Linked DNA regions of Coturnix japonica. The protein of the gene in region 1 binds, or shares a complex with, the protein of each later gene. Links are inferred from orthologs where the notes say so. Each region holds a gene or a part of one and is shown on either strand. Other genes may lie near its edges. The genes, in order: SLC9A3 and CHP1.

Region 1 (10,591 bases):
TGATGTAATGGGCAAACATAATAAATAGAGGAGGCATTAATTTCAGAGCACCCCTTGAGCAACCGAATTTTTCAATGTGTGCTTTCTAGAGAAAATTAATAACATTTTAAATACTTCGCTCTATCTCTTTATTTTTTATTCATTTTAAACTGAAATTATCTTTTACCTCAGCTTGAAAACAATACATAAGAACTTACTTGTACCACACATAGACCACACGAAGGGTGTACAAGATAATACTATTTCTTTTTGCTAAGTGATTATTTCAAAATACTTCTAGAAGCAACTGTGCTGGAGATCTTCTTGTTACAAAAAATCACTCAAAGCTCAAAGAGAGTATAATAAGAAGAACTCTTCCCTTTGCAGTCCTCTGAGAGAGTCAGGAAATATCAGCCATTGTGTGATTTGTTCTGTTTATTACAAACAGTACTCCAGGTAGGGCTTTTTTTTTTCTGATATAGAATGAAACCACAGGAAACAACAGATGCCATCTTCCTGGACTTCTACATGGCCTTTAACGTGGTCCCTCACCACATCCTTCTGTCTAAAGAGGTATGGATTTGAAGGATGGACTGTTTGGTGGACTAAGGATTGGTTGGCTGGACACAGCCAAAGAGTTGTGATTAATGGTTCTGCATCAGAGTGAAGGCCGGTCACAAGCGGTGTCCCTCAGGTCTTGGTCTTGGGACCGGCACTCTTCAACATCTTCACAAATGACATAGACAATGGCATCGAGTGCACCAACAGCAAGTTTGCAGATGCCACAAGCTGAGTGGTGCAGTCAATACACTGGAAGAAAGGGAAGCCATCCAGAGGGACCAGATAAGAGAAGTGGGCCCATTAAAACCTAATAAGGTTCAATAACACCAAGTGCAGGGTGCTGCACATGGGCCAGGGCAGTTCCAGGTATTTTTACAGACTGGGGGAAGATCTCCTTGAGAGTAACCCTGCAGAGAAGGACTTGGGGTCCTGGTGGATGAGAAGCTGGACATGAGCCAGCAGTGTGTGCTTGCAGCCCAGAAGGCCAGCTGTATTCTGGGCCCCATTAAAAAAGGGGTGGCCAGCAGGGAGAGGGAGGTGATTGTCCCCCTCTACTCAGCTCTTGTGAGGCCCCATCTGGAGTACTGCATCCAGGCCTGCAGCTCCCATTACAGGAAGGACATGGAGCTCAGCTCTTAGAATGGGTCCAGAGGTGGGCTACTAAGATGATCAGAAGGCTGGAGCACCTCTCTTACTAGGAGAGGTTGAGGGAACTGGGCTTGTTTATCTTGGAGAGAAGAAAAGGCTCCGGGGAGACCTCATTGCTGCCTTCCAATACTTGAAGGGAGCATATAAACAAGAGGGGGAATGACTGTTTACGAGAGTGGATAGTGATAGGACAAGGGGGAATGGATTTAAACTGAGACAGGGGAGGTTTAGGTTAAATATTAGGTGGAAGGTTTTAACACAGAGGCTGGTGACACACCAGAACAGGCTGCCCAAGGAGGCTGTGGATGCCCCATCCCTGGAGGCATTCAAGGCCAGGCTGGATGTGGCTCTGGTCAGCCTAGTCTAGTGGTTGGTGACGCTGCCCATGGCAGGGGGGTTGAAACTTGATGATCATTGTGGTCCTTCTCAACCCAGGCCATTCTGTGATTCTATGATTCTATGAAACTGCTTAAGGGATTTCACACAGAAACTTAAAAAATTCTACAAGGGTTTGTTTTCATTGCACTGTGAGATGAAAAAAGAAAAAAAAAACTTAAAAAAAAAAAAAAAAAAGGAATCTGTGAACAAATAAGTAAATGTAAAGTATACATTCTCACATAGGTATACATATGGACTGTTGTTTTAGCATTTATTCAAGTACCTACAGATGATCCATAATTACTGGTTCCTTTCTCTGTGTGCTCTGTATTACTCTAACATTCTAATGAATTGCACAATAATTCTGATATACACAGCAATTTGATATCCAAACATCTAGAAAATATCCTGGAGGCATTGGATGATAGGACAAATTTCACAATTACACTTTGAATCATGAGCTTATTGCTAAAAAAATACAATGTTTGTGTTTTAACTGTGTTGTAGACAATGTTTTGTAAAGATTTTATAGCAAGCAAAATTATGTACTTCTGTGATAGTTTAGACTAAAGGTTTTCAAGGATTATTACAAATTGTAAAAATACCACTGGGTATTATACTGGCAACTGATGAGCAGATTAACACTACCTTGTCTGTGTGAAGACAGTATTTCCATAATTTTTCCTGTTTGCTACTACTGCTTTATCTCCACCAGGATTATCAGAACCCTGATTTAACTTAGTTACTGAGCCACCACTACTGTCATGAACTGTCCTTTACCTAAGGGCAATGATGACATGATTTTGGCTGCAGCTGTTTCAAGTGAAATGTCAGGGGTTTTTTTTGTTTTTGTTTTTGTTTTTGTTTTTTTTTAAAATAAACTGTGGAAAAGATTTTCATTTATTTATTTATTTATTTATTTTCAATAATAAGGATTGTTTCTAAACCATTTCTTATTTTGTGGGACTAGATTTGGGAAGAATTACATTTATAAGATGGAACACTACAGCATTTGTACATTTGTGCTGCGCTGCTGCTAGAATTATGTGATTAACTGTAGTATGGTAGAATGTGGAATACACTGAGATAATAAAAGCAGTGTTGACAGATTGTTCATTGTTCTTCTAATATCAACCACTAGAATTTGCATTAACAATTAGGAACTACTACTATCCACAGGTCTCAGCAACAGTTATAGACTTACATACTTCCAATTCTAGTTCTGTTTCTACAATGGCAGTGCATCAGGGCCCTTTGTAGAACCTTTGAGAAAACATGGGCCCAGATTCTAAAGGGCATTTGGGTATCTAACTGACACTTAGAAAAATAAAAACAATATAGGTAGGATTTTAGTTGTTAGATATGGAATTATTCTTCAGGTCTTTGACTATAATATATCCTAAATGTAAAGAAAATATTTTACTGTCAGCCATGCTTCCTAAATATATTGCATATTCTAGCTTCAGATTGTTTCCCAGGCTAAAAAAAATCCTACATGATTTCCTTTCTTTTAAGTAATGAAGAAGCAAGGTAAGAGAAACAGTAATACGCTTCATTGTTTGAAGAGGGCCCAATGCACTGCTTTGGAGTAATAATAAGCAAATCTTCAGTGAATTAATATATAAAATCTTCATTCCTTGACTTCCCTGGCTAAATTAGATTATGTAATAGTGAAAGACCCCCTTTGTAACAATGACATCCCATGCAAATTGTTTTAGATTTACCAGTTAATTGATTTATAGAGGGCTTTATAATAACTCATTTGAATTTCCAGAAAGTACATAGCTTTTCTCTCAAATGTTTCAAATAATCAAAGTTATTTCTTTCATTTCTGAGCATTTTAAAGGAGACCTTATCCTGTTCTTTTGTGATCTCTTGACCAAACTTTTTGTTACGTAAGTGAAACAGATAATCTTTTTCCTGAATAGGTAACTTGAGTTGTGGACAGCATGTAGCAGTTGGAATGCTTCAAAGCATGGAACAGAGGGTAGAGATGTTGCTGCAGTGTGTAGAAAGGTGCAGTTTGCTGAGACCATGCTGCTTCGCTGTCTTGACTTTGGGGAAAGGCAGCAAGCTTCTAAAATATTTCATGTGGTAACAAATAAAAAAGGAACAGGAAAATAAGACAAAGAGTAGTTTAATACAGCACTCCTCATCAAAGAGCTGCAAGCAAATCTAAACAGAAAGTCAAACCTTTCTTGCTGGTGTAATTTCCTCGAGCACTGCTGGCAGAGGTGCTCCCTGGTGGACAGAAGTGAAAGCTCAGCCAACCAGATCCGAACGCGATTTGAAGCTGAAGAGCAGAAAAAAAACGCACTCCCTTCGTCAGTACTATAGTACTGGGTCTGACCCGTTTGCCTCAAACGCACCCGGACGAATTTCCTCATCCAACTCCGACTTGAGCATGGATCCTGGGCTCCGCCTGGGACGTGCGTGCGGAAGCACCCCAGCCTTGGCCCCTAGCACCAAGAGCATAAGGTCACTTCTTTCCAACCCCCATGTGTTCGGAGCCGAGCCGGGACGGTTGGCACAACCCACAACCTTCTGTTGCCGCCTCGGCGGAACTCTTTGCTGATCCCGAAAGGTGCTCAGCTAGGGGCAGCACCGCTGGCTCCGCAGTCACAAAAGCTCCGCCTCCGACCGATCTGGAACAGCTAGATAAAGGCAGGTGCGGGAAAGCGGCAGGAACTCAGCTCGCAGCATCTGCTTATGTTCAGAGTCCCTGACCCTTTCTTGATCACAGCTTGCAGAGAAGCACCTGGGTCGGCCCGTGCAGCCGTGCCGACGGTTCCGGGACAGGACCCACTCTGCTGCCTGCAGAACTCACCGCTGCCCCCAGTTCCACAGTCTCTACGATAGCGTCTCTGCGAGGAGACGAGGACCTCTCCCCCAAGGACCTCCGAAGAGGAGGGATTTCTCCGGGAAGGGGAAACAGGCTTCTGTTGTGTGACTTGGAGATGAGACAGGTCTCTAGAATGGGGTTCCTCCTGGGACTGATGGATCTCCCAGCAGCGCTAGGACAGAGAAGCTCGGGAAGCCATACAAATAACAGCCATCCTCAGAGCTTTGAGATCGTCTCTTTCAAATGGGATCATGTAAAGGACCCTTATGTCATTACACTCTGGATACTTGTGGCCAGCTTGGCCAAAATTGGTGAGTCCCGAGTTATATATTATGTCCTCTTCCTTCCCCTTCCTTTTTTTCCCTTCTCACATCCAGCATAAATGAAGAGAGCTTATCAGAAGTCCACTGACCCGTTTTCAGGGGTTCTACTGTACTCTGTCCTGATTTCATAATACTGCCTTACATAGCGCTTAGCAGTGTGATTTTCACCTGCCTGAGGGAGTTAAGTAGTTCATTTTCAACACCTAAGACTAGCTTTTGTATCCGACTCCTTACATATACAAGGCATTTCTTGAAGCCCTTCATTACAGTTGTTCTCAGGAAAAACTTTTTACAGACTTGAAACAAAGATTAAGCCTTATTGCTGATAGAGTGCCCATTCCAACTGACAATACGCTGTCCTTTTAAATATAACTGATAGATTTATTAGCTACCATCAACACAAATAAACACAATAAAACCAATTTATGAACTTAGCAATCTCTGCTTTGCAAAGCATGGTTGAATTAGGGAAAGAAAATAAGAAAAAATATTTTACAGGGAAGGGTAACATTTTCAGATCATTTGTTGCAGCTGAAAATTCACAAACTTCAGAGCACACAGAATTTTCTTTAAGAAAAGAGAACTAATGAAACACAATTACTTAATCTATGTTGAATGCAGTATGTGTAAATACACATGAATACTCTAGTTCTTGTTTTCTGAACCTTATAACACCTCCAAAAGCAATCTTTGTTGAACTAGAAAAGTGCATGCTTATTTGGAATGTATGTTATTTCCATGATGCTATTATTTTCTATTAAAACTGTAGTATCATAGAATATCTGGTATTGAAAGCGATCCACAAGGATTATCATGCCCAGCTCCTGGCTCCACACAGGACTATCTAAAATTTAAACCCTACATCTGAGAGTATTGCACAAAACATTTCTTGAACTTCAGAAGGCTTGGTGTCATAAGCACTCCTCTGGGTAGCCTGTTCCAGTGCCCAATTAGTTGCTTATGAATATCCTTTTTCTACTATCCAGTCTGAATTTTACCTGAATCAGTTTGATGCCATTCCACTGGATACTTTTAACTTTTGGATCTAAAATGAGAACACTGTCAGTTTGGCTGATACCATGTCATTTTCAATTTGATTGCGTGACCAGCTAAAAATCATACTAATATCCTACATTTGTACTGATAATACTGATTTGTGATGCCAGTATCTTACACCATGGGTTTTGCACGTTACACCAAATGAAAGGTCTAAACAGACAGATCGTGCATTTAGTTGTACATAAGCTAAATGCACTAAGGGTGAGCAGAAAGTACTGCCTTCACATTCAAATAAATCCAAATGATACTTTTCTAAAAGGGAGGAGACTGGTTATGCAAAGGTTATATTGTTAAGTGGTTTTCAGCAGTGTCTAAACTTAGATGCTTGCTCATGGAACCATAAGCTAAATATTGTCAACGAAATCAGTGTTGAACTGCAAGTATTTCAGATGGTAGCTGCATTATCTAGAGTATATATAAAAAATGCAGTTTTGATTTAATTGACTTATATTGATGAGTTATATAGAGTAGAAAACTGGAGAAACAAGATATGGTGAAAAAAGCAGTGACAATGTTGAGCCTCTGTAAATTTATGCTTACTAATTTTAATAAATAGACTGCTTGTCTGAACCTTCTTTTTGACATTCTTTTCTAAGTAAGTATTAACTTTCTGTGTTATTAAGACTTTGTTTTCCATATGTACCAGCGTTATTCAGAATATTAGTGGTAACAACCATATCTGTGCTGTGGCAGAAACTCAGTGCAGATCACAGGTCTTGTCCTATATTCAAAATGCCAAGGCTTGAAATAAGATTGTCTTGAATTAAGATGAGACATTTTACTGTGAACTATGTAGTATATCTACAGATATTTTATTTTTGGAGTTTGGAAGCTGAATACCACTGTTCAATTCTAAAATTATTTGCACTTATTTCATAGCTGCACAGAGCACATCACTTACTAGTAAGAAGAGAGTGTCTATCATCAATTCCATCATTTCCTAAGCTCTCAAACTTCAGACTCCTCTCACATTTATAATTGCAATCTTGAACTGTCCTGTATGTTGTCTCTTAAGAAGCAATGGATAGCTGCAGAGGAATATATGTTCCCAATGATTATTTTGTTCTGGATTTTTTAGAGAGGGGGGCAGAGTGATTTTTATACATGCAAGATCACCTCTAAGTATTGGCACAAAACTGTGGAATAAGAGTTTTCAGACAGCTGGCTTTCATGAACTATAAGATACTCAGTCTGTGTCTAATATTGATGCATTTGATGCATCTCAGTCTACTGTTTCACATTTCATAAGTGATTTGACGTGACGCTCTTTATTTGAAGTCTTCCAGCTCTTTATTCTAAGGTTCACAGTGTTCCATCTAATTATCTTTATTTCCTCTTTTGATATGCTTTCTTATCACTACACGAGTATCCTTATGGGATTAGGCTAATAAACTACTCATAAGTGTAAAGCTAAGCCTTAAAAACATCTTATCTGTGTGAAGAAAGTACATCAGGTACATCTGAGAACCCTCCTGGTAGACTTCTTCCGCTAGGTGTCGACTTTCTGGTACCTCAGTTGTTCAAACTGAACAAGTAATTCTGATTAAAAAACAAAACAAAAAAAAAAAAACCCAAAAAAACACACACACACAAAAACAAAAACAGAACAAAACCATGAACACATACATACATGCTTGTTATTTACAGTTAGACTATGTCACTAAGTAAGTTCACCTTGCCATGCACTCCCTATTTCTTTATATGCCTTTAATGGGTCACAACTTGAAAACAATCATTTAATAAATATACATATAGAATGTACAAACAGTGGGAGCAAAGTCTGTTGTAGAAAAAGCCAAAAGTAGGTGGGAGAAAAAGAGCTCTGGAAGTAGGCAGAAGACAAGGAATAATAAGCTTAGGAGATAAAATCACACAATCACACAATCACAGAATTGTAGGGCTTGGAAGGAGCCTATGGAGATCATAAAGTACAACTCCCCTGACATAGCAGGTTCCCTACACCAGGTTGCAGAGAAGTGTCCAAACAGGTCTTAAGTATCTCCAGAGAAGGAGACTTTGCAACTTCTCTGGGCAGCTTTTTCCAGTGCTTTGTCACTTTCATAGTAAAGAAGTTCTTCCTTGTGTTTGTATGGAACTTCCCTTGCTCCAGTTTCTGCCCATTGCCCCTTGTTCCATTGTTGCATGCCACTGAAAACCTGTCCCTATCAACTTGACTCCTGCGCTTTAGATTATAAACAATGATGAGATGCCTTTCAGCCTTCTCCAGGTTGAAGAGACCCGGGTCTCTCAGCCTTTCCTCATATGTGAGATGCTCCAGGCCATCATCCTTGTGATCCTCTTCTGGACTCTGTTTAGAAGATCTCTGTCTTCTTTGAACTTGTAGAGCCCAGAATTGGACACAGTATTCAAGTTTCATCTAAGAACATTGTATACAAGTCCAGTTAGTTGTTTTTTTCTTTCTTTTTCTTCTTTTTCTTCTTCTTTTTTTCTTTTTTTTTTTTCTTTTCTGAGAATGTATCTTAAAACATAGCTATTGTTCAAAAAACAAAAACAAACAAAACAAAACCAACCAACCAACAAACAAAAAACAGGGGTAGTATGTTTTTTACCTGAAGATACCCACTGCATGCTGCTTTATATGTGCTGCTCTTGTTCAAAATCCCAGGATGCAGAGAGTGTTTTTATATTTTCATTAACATGTGGGTAACTTGTAAGATTTTTATATGTGTTTTACATCTTGTTGACTACCTTAATGTTTCCTCAAACAACAGCTAATTGCTTTGCACTAAAAAAACTACAAAGCACTTTTTTGTTGTTGTTGGTCTGTTTGTTTTTGTAGTGACAATGTAATCAGTGACAATGAGGCTCATTACTGAAGTCTGAGTAACATTTACTGCCTTATTTTTGCTACCTAGACTACTGACCTTACAATTTACAGATTTAATCATTACAGGCCTGCACAAGGTAAATTATCTCAGTAAGGCCAGCTTAAGCTCATTGCTACTGTTAAAATACCATTTTTCTTCATCACTCTGTCCCATGTCTACACAAATAGCAGTACCCTTCTGAGAGATAAAGTGGCCTTACAATGACATCTGCCAACTTCTTCATTACTCTTGGGTGAATTCCATCAGCATGCATGGCCTTGGGTATGTTCAGTTTGCTTAAGTACTCTCTGGCATGATCCTTTTCCACCAACAGTATATCTTATTTGCTCCATATTATCTCTCAGGTCTTTGGAACCTGGGATTCCTGAAGGCCGGTCTTGCTAGTAAGAACTGAGGCAAAGAAGGCATTCAGCACGTCAGCTTTTTCCCTGTCCTCTGTAACCACAACCCTCATCTTATTCAGTGGGCTTATGTTTTCTCTAGTCTTCTTTCTGTCACTGGTTTATTTACAGAAGCCCTTCTTGTTGCCTTTAACATCTGTGGCCAGATTCAATTCCATCTGGGCTTCAGTTTTCCTAACTTCATCACTGTATTCTTCAACATGTGTATGTCTCACAGGTTACCTGTCCTTATTTCCACCCTCCGTTTACATTTTTCTTGTGTTCAGCTTTTGTTTTGCTGACTCATACAGGTCTCCTGACATTTGTGCCTGTCTTTCTCTTTGCTGGAATAACTTTCTTCTGAGTTTAGAGGAGATCCTTGGAGACTAATCATATTTCTTCCATTTCTCTTCACTCCAGAACATCCCATGAGACTCTTCTAAGCAAATCCTTTAACAGTGCTCTTCGTACTCTCCTCAAGCCTGGGATTATGAATTTGTTTCTCACAGTCCTTTTTCCCCAAGGTATCCTGAACTCTGCCATCTCACAGTCACTGTAACAAAGGATGCCTTTGACCTTTATATTCCCCAAAAGCCCCTTGTTAAAGACCCAGCAGAACAACTCTCATTGGATTTTGTGTCACTTGAAGAAGGAAGCTACTATTCAAAGCACTCTAGAAACCTTCTGTATTGCTTGTGTCTTGGTGTAGCTGTCTCTCACATCCCATTCACACTTTATATTTTAGTTTGTTTTCTTCTACTCATATAGCCTCCTTGATTTGCCCAGTGTGGATCAGATAAGGAAGTGTAAGAAATGGCAGGAGAGTATGTGACTGTGAAAAGGAATGAGGAAGAATGGTACGTAACCTTTGCAGTATCTGCAAGTCAAACTTTTGCCATCTGTTTTTGTCAGTGTAGTTTATTCTGAGTCTAAGAATGTCACAGAGCCCTCAAATGCTGTTTCGCAGCCTTGTTGGGTCCATCAGTTCTGAAGAACCCAAGATAAAACGAGCTGTGAAGTGCACTGTGTTTTTAAGCTTACAGGGTTCCCACTGTGTATCAGTAGAGATGTTACAATCAGTTTATTTTACTGAAATACAGTCAGCAAACTACCCTGACTTCAAGATGTCAAGATTATTTCACGTGGAAGTAAACAATGTATTGACCTGGAATATAGGGATTCTTTGAAAAGTAAAACAAAAAGTCAGTGAATGAAGTCTTTATGGGGTTTATTTTCATCATGTTTTAGTTTTCCTTTTTTTCTCTAGACTTTAAAAGTGATCTGAGATGCTCAGAAATGACTCCAGTTTCTGTATGCCTAGGACACTTCATATTGTCTCTCTTATCTGAGAAAGGAGTATGTTAACACCAGCACTCTTGAGGAGAATGTTAAGCATGTTGGGATGGGCTAGGAAAGAAACAGGGAAATGCATATGTAACAATCCTCCTATTTTTGACTCTTCAAGCAAAATTTTATTTCTTTAAAGAAACCAGTACCTTTCCCTCCAAAGCAAACAAAATTTCATTTGACTCCAAATTTCTCCTGACATTTTAGGAATAATAAAAAGTGTCG
Region 2 (9,133 bases), on another chromosome or scaffold:
TGCTGTTATTAAAGAGGCCAGTATACTTAATACGGAATAGGCTGGGATTTGGAGGCCAATTTTGTGGGTTTTGTTTTTGTAGCCTTAGTGTGTTGCTGTTATTGTACTTTAAAACCCAGATGACCATGAAATGTATCTTCTACTAATGAACTGCTGTGCTTTATTGTAGTGAAAAAACCTTTGATTCTGGAGGTATTCACAGAGAATTGCTTAATGAGTCTGCCTTGACCACAATGGGATTACTCCACTTTCCTGTCAAGGAGATATTGTTAGGCTGGAAGAAAAATTGACAGGGCAACTTTAATGATAAAATGGACCCTGTTTTCATGATCATACTGACATGAATACATTATTTTAGATCAGCATAGCTTTTGTCTTCTAGTTCAGAACAGTTGACACAATATAAGCATAGCTATGTGTATACTAGCTATGTGCTTATATATAATTATGAGCAGGAGGGAGAATGGCTTACAAGTGCGGTGAATATTGGTGATGAATTGGTGAATCTGAAGTGAACTAGTCTGGAGAAATCATTGTCAGATGTAGCTCCAAAATATGTGGTTTAAGAAGTTTACTTCAAAACTGTTTCAGAAGTTTTCCTTCCTTAAACTGAGAACTAGTGAGCACCGTTTCTAGGGTTGTGTCTAGCACAAATAGTGTTAGCATCTCAATTCTTATGAAGCAGTTTTTTCTCCTGTGACTTGCATACTTGTTTATACAGATGTGTTGTGTTCTTGCTTTGCTTAGCCGTGAAGACTTCCAGCGGATTCCAGAGCTTGCCATCAATCCTCTGGGAGACCGAATTATCAATGCCTTTTTTTCAGAAGGGTAAGTTCCAACCGCCTGAATTAGTGAATAGTCATAAAATGTAGTTTGTCAGGAGCTCTAATACGAGAAAAGAGATGATTAAAGCACAGAATTTGAATTCAGTGATAACTGAACATCTCAGACTTCTGCTAGTCATGTTGGTTTGTTGTTTCCTCTGTACACTTTCATTACATAATAAGAGACTCTTCTCTCACAGGAGTTTTATATCCTTTGAGTGATGAGATTTGCTTGTGTGTCACTGTTGTCCATTCTTGCTATGCTGCTTTTTAAGAGGGTCAAGGGCATGGACTTTGATTCTTAAAGCAAACTTGTAGCAGTAATACCTTATGTAAAGTAGTGTTGCAGTTAACAAATTCAATTTTTCTTTGCTTTTTTGCCTTCTAAGTGTGCCTTTGTTAACAGATCAACTTCTGCTTTCTAATTTGGATCATATTGAAGCTGTATCTTATGACACTGTCAACTTGAATCCAAAGAGGCAGTGAGATTTTCAGTGTTGTAGGCCAGGATTCAGATCAGTAAGATACACTTCTGGACTTGGGTGTAGTTGCAGGATAACTTAGGCAAGGGCAAAGGGTGAAAACTTGAATTTAAATTTATAGGCAAAGAGGGGAGCAGCCTGTAACAAGACTTCTTGCAGTTTTTTTCCCCTCATATATCACACTTCAATCTTTGCAGAAGTATGATCCCAGGTTACAGCTGCAGAGAGCTGGTTTTAGTCACAGGTTGCTAAACCCTGGAGAGATAGGAATTAAGAATTCTCATGGTGTGGACACTTGAGACATTCTTACTGTTTTTTATTGAAATAAAAAGCCCGTGTGAACTGTGCTGGAGCTAACTGTCTAAAATGCTTGTGCAGAGAGGACCAAGTGAATTTCCGTGGATTCATGAAGACACTAGCCCACTTCCGGCCCATAGAAGATAACGAAAAGAGCAAAGACCAGAATGGATCGGAACCCCTGAATAGCCGAAATAGCAAGCTCCACTGTAAGAAATGTGAACCTTCCATTAGAAGCAATTCATATTCTTTTCTTTCTCTGAGAAGAGAGCAGAGGTGTTAAGTATTTACTACACGGTCTTTCTGTGTGGAATGATATCTTATAATAACCTGGTTTTTACATGAACTTGTATTCTTACCTGTCCAGAATGTCAACCTATATTTGTGTAAAATTTGATAGAATTGTTTGAATCTTAAGTTCATATGTCTTTTCCTGAAGGCTTCATAACAAGTGTTTAAAAATGGTTTGCAACGTTATTTCATATTTAGAAGCCATGTTTTTTATATGAATGGGCTTTTCTTTTTCTTTCTCCAGTCTTCTGTGTAATATAGTGCTTACTGAATGCACTAGGCAGTGCTTCCTGGAGCACTTAAAAGTTGTTAATTTCAGCTGAAGTATAGCTGTAGGTAGTGAACAAGTGTTAAATAAAAGGCTGGCTCTGAAGTTAAAGCACTGACTATATCTTAGAGCCTCTGTGGCTCAGGGCTTTAAAGAAGTAACTCTGCAGGTAGAATACTTCTGAAACTTTGAGTACTTGAGGATGTACTTAATGTTTTTCACTTCTTGGCAATAATATTCCTGGATGTGGTAATAACTTTTCATGAACAGAACATGAGTTGTATAGCAAGTCAAAATTCTACCTTAATTATCTTAAATGATTTATAATGAGCTATTATTAGTTTTATAGGTAATTGTCAGAAAGAAAAACAATGATGCTTGAATTTAGTACTATATTTCTCTCCCTGCAGTTGCTTTTCGGTTATATGATCTAGATAAAGATGGCAAGATTTCCAGGGATGAGCTGCTTCAGGTAAATAACTGGAGACTACTTTAGATTCCATCATCTGACATTTCGTGCCGTTTGGGATGAAGAGGGGTGTTGGTAACAATCTTAATGAAATCCTTGCAGGAATTTGTGTCTATTTGTTACCTAAAGCTTTAAACCAGAGATATATGAAACCTTACCCTCATTTGGTAGCCCAGATTGTTTTATCAGACCAGGGATTCTAGATTTGGTTTTAAACTACAGTGTTAGGCTCAGTAAGATCTTACTAGAAATGATTCGTAAAAGGAAGGTCTTCTTGGTTAGGATGCTTAAAAACCCAACAAAGAAACTAGAGCCACTTAAGAGCATCTTCAAGGGTGTTTTTAGCTTAGGGGATGTTGCTGGGGTGAATGCAGTCATTCTGGTTGTCCTTGTCCTCACAAAGTAGAATAAAACTTGGTGTAAATGCAGTGAAGACCAGCAGAGATAATCAGAGTTCATCAGTGGCTGTATGTATTTAAGCTAAGCTTGAGCTTAGAGTAATTGCATACTACTAATCCTGGGAAGTAGACATGGCAATTTGTGGTTCTTTATGTAGGACAAGGTTTTGATTTTGACTGAAACTGCCCACTTTCAATCTGTGCAGAAGATGCTTTACTAAATGTTAGGAGGTATTGGCTGCTATCACTTGTGCTTATACTTAGAAAATTCCTGTAGGAAGCATTTTGAACTGTAGACACTCAAATCAAGTATCCATATATTTTTGTGGGAAAAAATTAGAAGCATTGGAACAAAGTGTTATTCTTTCCTGGTTTGGGAAGTTTGTTTATTTGTTGTTTTTTTTTTTACTACTTCTGTGCCTCTCAGCTGCTTAGTGAAAAAGCTGGCTGAAGAAGAAAGCTTTCTTTCTTGGAATCCTTTATATAAAGGACCAATAATAATAGTAATCTACCCAAAATGTCTAAAAGTATTTCCATGGAAATCTTTGAGTTGTCTAGGTCATGACTTAAAAGCAGCATACACGAGAAACAGCATTAAGAATACTTGTGGTTTTATATCACTCATGATTAAAAATAATAATCTAGGGACTTGTATACATTGCAGGTGTTACGGATGATGGTTGGTGTCAACATCTCAGATGAGCAGCTTGGCAGCATTGCTGACAGGACAATCCAGGAAGCTGATACAGATGCGGATGGTGCCATCTCCTTTGAAGAGTTTGTAAAGGTTGGTAAATTACTTACTTAAATGGAACTGCAGTAAACAGACAAATCATTCAGACTTAAATGCACGTGGAAAAATAAATTATTCAAGTATTTCTTCTACCTGCATTTGGCTTATTAGGACTTTTTTTTAAGCTATTCTCTTATTGTGCAAATAATTAGTCCATATGTTTCTCTAGCATAAGCTACAGCACTGAACATACTGCAGAATGTTCATCTCTTGCTAAGACTACTACAGGCATCAGATCCTGAATGAAACTTATCTCCCAGAGTAAGGTGTTTAATGTAACAGTGATGAGCTTAAAAATCAGATAGCAATATACTCCCCAAACCAGCTCATAATGAGGCAATAGAGATTTTTAATGCACCAAACAATATTACTATTACAAATGCTGCTTTCTACACAAATAGGCTGATGAGCAGTTAACAGCAAAGTAATTCTGCTATAATTGTGTTGATTCAATTTCACTTGAGTATTTTATCTGTTACACAACTAAGTATATACTCATATACAAACTTCTAGCTGTAGTCCTGTTAATTGTCTTCTGATGGTTGTCAGAAACAGCTGGTAGTAAGGAGCCATTAGATAGTCAGCAGGAAAAAGTGGAAAAACCACTAAAAAGTGGTTTTAACCTACTGGGGTGGGATTGAAGGAACTAGACTCATCCTGGATGTGGACAAAGATGAGATGATGCAGCACAAACAAGTTGCAATGTGGGAAATGCTTACTAGGATTGGGTGCTAGAGATATAAAACCCACCCTTAATTTGAGAGATTTAAAACAACTGGTTGAGGCCTTAAGTGACTTGATCTAGCTGGCCCTGCTGTCTGAGAGAGCTGAACTAAATGATCTCCAGGAATCTCTTAGAACTTAACTTACTCTAAATTCAGCTTTAAAATAGTCTGCTGTGCTCTTTTAGTTCAACTGCTTGTGCCCCTTTTTCTAGTCCATTCTTCTGTTTCCTCATCAGGCATTCTTACACAGTCTACTTTTGAGAATAGTTCAGCTCTCTCTGGGCTATTGGTGTCCTGCATCAGTTGTGTTTTAGTTGACATCCTTCTTCAGGTTTAAACAGCTGAAGTTTCTGCAGCAAAACACTGCAGTCTCTAGGTGAAAGAACGTCATGCCAAATTGAAGATACTCCATGTTCCTGCCCATCTTCTTTTTACTTGCAGGAAAGAAGTATCTTGTGTAAATTAACTAAAATAACTATTTCTGGATTTTATTGCAGGTTTTGGAGAAGGTGGATGTAGAGCAGAAAATGAGTATTCGATTTCTTCACTGATGGATGGAGAACCCATTCCTTTCTACCGTTACTATACAATGAATAGAACTTCGTTATTTCCTTATCACCTTTCCCCAGAGCGTTGTTACTGGTGCATATAAAATACATCTCCAACCCTTCACTGGTTTGTTCTACCAATGTGAACATTCCCTGTGCATCAGGAACTAAGAGAAATAGCTGCCATGCAACTTGGGAAGGAGTGTTAAAAAAAATCCTTCTGTTTTTTAATTTTTAATTCTTGTCGTCTTTTGCATTGCGAGTAAATGTTTCTCCTTCCTATGTACTGCAGTTTAATCTACAAACTGATTCTTCTGAGCTCTGAATCTGAGAATGGAAAAAAGAAAATGCCACAGAACTGCCTTCTGAAACGCTTTTTGGAGACAAGCATCTGCTCAAATACTAGATGTGGTGATAATTCTTCACCTTGGTTTCCAGTAGCAGCTTTACATCACAGCCATCTCTTTCTTCCTTAGTTGGCTCTTTATGTGGAAGTTTTGTTCCCTGCTTTCAAAGCTTGACTTCTACAAAAAGATGTTGTTCTTATGGCGTCACTGTAAAACTAACACAGAATGCATGGTAACAGTCCAGAGGTGTGGTGTGGAGGCTTTCTTCTTTTTGGGATTGGCTCTCACAGTAGGAGAATAGGCACAGTAGGAGAATGCGTGGTGGTGATGGACACAGTGGTGTCTTCAAAGGAAATAGGAACTCCGCACTAAGTCACTTAAATTGTTTCTGCATTTGCTGCAGGAATGTTTCTTTCCTATGAGCCAGTGGACCATGAAGTACCTTTTCCAGGTTGCTTTACTCTAAGATCCCTCTTCCCATTTGAGTGGCTTTGCCTCTGAAGGTGTAAACTTGTTTACCAGCATACAGAATGCAAGAGAACTATTCATGCCAAAAGCTGGGATTTGTCTTTCTGTCACTGCCCCAGTAAGTGTCATGAAACATTACTGAGTTTTTTTTTTCTTAATTCTAGTGATTATTTGCACTTTCCTATATGGATGTTCTGGTCTTTTAGATTTGTGTTGATTGTGCTAGATGTATTTATGGAAGGTCGGGCATGCAAATATCTCTTGGGAAGTACATATTAAAAGTTTGAGTACTAGTGATATTTCAGGATATATTTCTAGATAAATCTCTCTGCAAGTACAAGATAATTATCCTTCCATTTATCTTTCATTTAATGCAGTTAATAGATTTGCTCCTGATCAAAACAGGATGTCAGAAGTACCGAAGGTTCAACAGCAGCGCACTTTTCTGTGGTTAGATGGTAAATGTTCTCACATAGTTCAGCTGGAGCAGCCTGTGGTCTGGGAGGACCTTCTATAAAACCAAAAAGCCCTAAGAGCTTCTATAGTGAAGAATCAGTTGTTACAACTGCTTCTTTGTTGTTTGTTAATATTTCTATGAATACTGCCAGTCTCCAAGTACCCTCAGATGTTCGTTCTGTTTTCTTTTGTTCCTTGAATCATTTACTTGTATAAAACAACACGCAGGTCTCTGAAGGGTTTCTGGTTTGTTTTAAGGAATTGCACAGCAAAATGCTGTCCTTTGTTTTGCAGAGTGCAGCACAAGTCCTGAAACAAAAACCTCTGTATGGGGAGGAAGTTTTGACTGTCATGTTAAACAGGGTTGTAATAACGCTAAAGTGTTTTTTGAAGTTGCAGGTGTTGCGATCTGCTTTAAATTAAGTTTTGCTCTCATTTTCTGGCTGTATAGTTGTAACCTACAGTTGTGCCTTATTGTCCCAGTGAGACTGGATATTGTATTTGTCAATCCATAAATAAACCTTCCACTGTGTTAAAAAAAACAAAGTATTTATTGTAACTGGGCATCCTCAGGCTTGAAAAATTAAGTACTGCTGAAATATTGCTAGTGTGATTTATGGATGAATTCTTGTAACTTAGTTTGTTTTCAGAGTGCTGCCAAAATCCTTCATTCTGCTGGTAAAGTGGAAGAAAGCAGTAGTGCAAAGCAGGAGCTCCACAGGAGCACATGGATGGTAAGAACAGGAGCTTGACATTTCTCCATGGTTCCAAACAAGGTTTGTGTGTGTGTGTTTTGGTGGTTTTTCTCCCTTGGGGGTGGGGAGGGAGGAAGGAAAAAAGCAGAATGTGACTTTGCTGTTAGCAGTTTAGATCAATTAGAAGCTGTCTGGGATGTGAAGCAATAGGAAGGTGACCTTAAGCTTATGGAATTTTGCACCATCAGTGATGCTGGTCTATAGGCCGGTTTCAGAGATGGGCATTGGTTTTGCAAGAGGTGGTTTTTATGTTCCTTCATGAGAAGGAGCTGATTGATAAGTGCTGTTAGCAGCCTTCCTCAGGCTTCCGTGCTATACAAAAACACGATTCTCTAGTTTGGCAGCTCAGTGTCTTATCCAGTGTTCTACAGCGTGTGTATCTGAGTTGTGAATTGAGAGGTGGTACAAGTTGTACAGAATGAAGATACAGTGTTTTAATTTAAAATCCTTCCGAATGAATCCATGCAGATGCCTGCAATAAAATAAAAGCTTAAGGAGAAGGTTAAGAAGAGCGCGGCCGGACCGGCTCATCCCGCGGGCGCGGCCCGTTGCGCTGCAGCCGCCCTTCCTTCCCTTCCCTTCCCTCCCCGAGCGGCTCCTTCACGTTCCCGTGGAGGTCAACGGCGGATTCGCGCAGCCCGGCCCGCTCTCGCTCCGGCTCCAATCGCTGTGCGGGCGTGTGCTCTGAGGGGACCAATCGGAAACCACAGCCTCGGAGGCGGGCGGCGAGCCTCCGTGATGGACGTGGCCGGCTACCAATCAGTATCCGAAGTGGACGGCGGATGCCTGGGAGCGGCACCCAATAGGCTGGCGGTCGCGGGGGCGGGCCCGTCGTCGCCGAGAGCCGCGATCCCCCCGCCGTGTGTCCGCGGTGAGGAGGGGAAGATGGCGGAGTGAGAGCGGTGGGCGGGGGGGCCGGGCCGGCCTCGGCCCCGCGGCCTCGGCCGCGCTCAGGTGAGTGAGGCGGGCGGACGAGGGTTCCGCCGCGGAGCCGCGCCCGGATGCCGCCCGCTGCCCCGCTCCCTTATTACCGGGCCGGCTTCGGGCACGGTCGCTCCGCCGCTTCCCGAGGCGCCGGGCTGGGGCCGCCGCGCACCCGGGCGAGTCCCGGCCCCGCGAACGGCAGCGCGGCCTGTGCGCTGCGGCGGCACTCAGGAGAGCGGGGACGGACCGGACACGGGCAGCGACCGGGCGAGGAGAGGGAGCGGGCCGGGCCTGCCGCCAACACCACACGGCTTTGGGGGCCGGGGGAACTCGGGAGCGGGGCCGGGCCGCGGCGGGGCAGGGGCAGCGGAGCTGGGCCGGGCCGTTCCGCTGCTGTGCGGTGGCTCCGTGCCCTCCTGCCGCAGCACGGCGGGACCTGCTGCTACGGATGATCCGGCACCGTCGGAACGCGAGAGAGATCTGCGGGGCAAAGTAACTTCGTGACCAGACTGCGCTGATATGCGCTATGAACCGAGCGGCGCGGGGAGCAGCCGACAGGGAGGTGGAAAGGGCCTCAGCCGTCGTTAAGCTATCACTGAAAGCCTACCTGTCCTTCTCTGTATATGCGAGTCAGACTCAGTCTCTAGCATGGAGTTCCTTGTGTTTCGTGCTTTATAATAGTTCTTTAAATCTAGTTTGTTACGGAGTTTGAAGTGGCTGCGTTTTCAGTGTGGATGTCAGGTAAAAGTAAGAAAAACATAACCCACCAAAGCGGCTAAATGAGAAGTTTTAGATCCTGTGTAGACACGGGGTGTCATCTTGCATGACCTGATAATAAGAAATGTGTTTGTAACCAATGGAATAGCTTGGATGAAATGTGTGATTTGGCAGCTAGTTCTAAAAGCAGCAGCTACTTCTGAGACCGTTTCCTAAGGAATGCTCTGAATGTGTTACAGCACATTGATATTCCGTGCTCTGTATCATTCTCCGAGTAAAAGCAGCTTGTGAGCAATGTAACGTTAAGGCTGCTGCTGAATACCTGCTTGGACATGTCTGTGTATGAATGGTTTGAAATGAAACGTTTGAAA

Evidence for each region.
Region 2: the proteins of SLC9A3 (region 1) and CHP1 are in contact, whole or in part, in a cryo-EM structure (PDB 7X2U), measured with the Homo sapiens proteins. The link is inferred for Coturnix japonica from reciprocal best matches to the Homo sapiens genes SLC9A3 and CHP1. Residues at the interface, in NP_004165.2 of Homo sapiens: Tyr396, Arg397, Met398, Gln400, Glu402, Arg474, Leu475, Asn476, Glu477, Leu479, His480, Gly481, Arg482, Ala483, Phe484, Asp485, His486, Ile487, Leu488, Ser489, Ala490, Ile491, Glu492, Asp493, Ile494, Ser495, Gly496, Gln497, Asn501, Arg504; in NP_009167.1 of Homo sapiens: Arg30, Leu31, Arg34, Leu38, Lys40, Glu49, Phe51, Gln52, Arg53, Ile54, Glu56, Leu57, Ala58, Ile59, Asn60, Pro61, Leu62, Asp64, Ile66, Phe70, Phe83, Leu87, Phe90, Leu115, Phe117, Ala118, Leu121, Tyr122, Leu135, Leu139.

What each region holds. Positions count from the first base shown.
Region 1 is NC_029517.1:72,716,303-72,726,893, reverse strand, and holds the start of SLC9A3 (sodium/hydrogen exchanger 3), read left to right. Parts: upstream 1-4,497; 5' UTR 4,498-4,523; coding exon 4,524-4,719; intron 4,720-10,591. UniProt on the Homo sapiens protein: Plasma membrane Na(+)/H(+) antiporter. Exchanges intracellular H(+) ions for extracellular Na(+) in 1:1 stoichiometry, playing a key role in salt and fluid absorption and pH homeostasis.
Region 2 is NC_029520.1:21,958,804-21,967,936, forward strand, and holds the end of CHP1 (calcineurin B homologous protein 1), read left to right. Parts: intron 1-747; coding exon 748-828; intron 829-1,684; coding exon 1,685-1,812; intron 1,813-2,572; coding exon 2,573-2,634; intron 2,635-3,693; coding exon 3,694-3,816; intron 3,817-5,044; coding exon 5,045-5,098; 3' UTR 5,099-6,904; downstream 6,905-9,133. UniProt on the Homo sapiens protein: Calcium-binding protein involved in different processes such as regulation of vesicular trafficking, plasma membrane Na(+)/H(+) exchanger and gene transcription. Involved in the constitutive exocytic membrane traffic.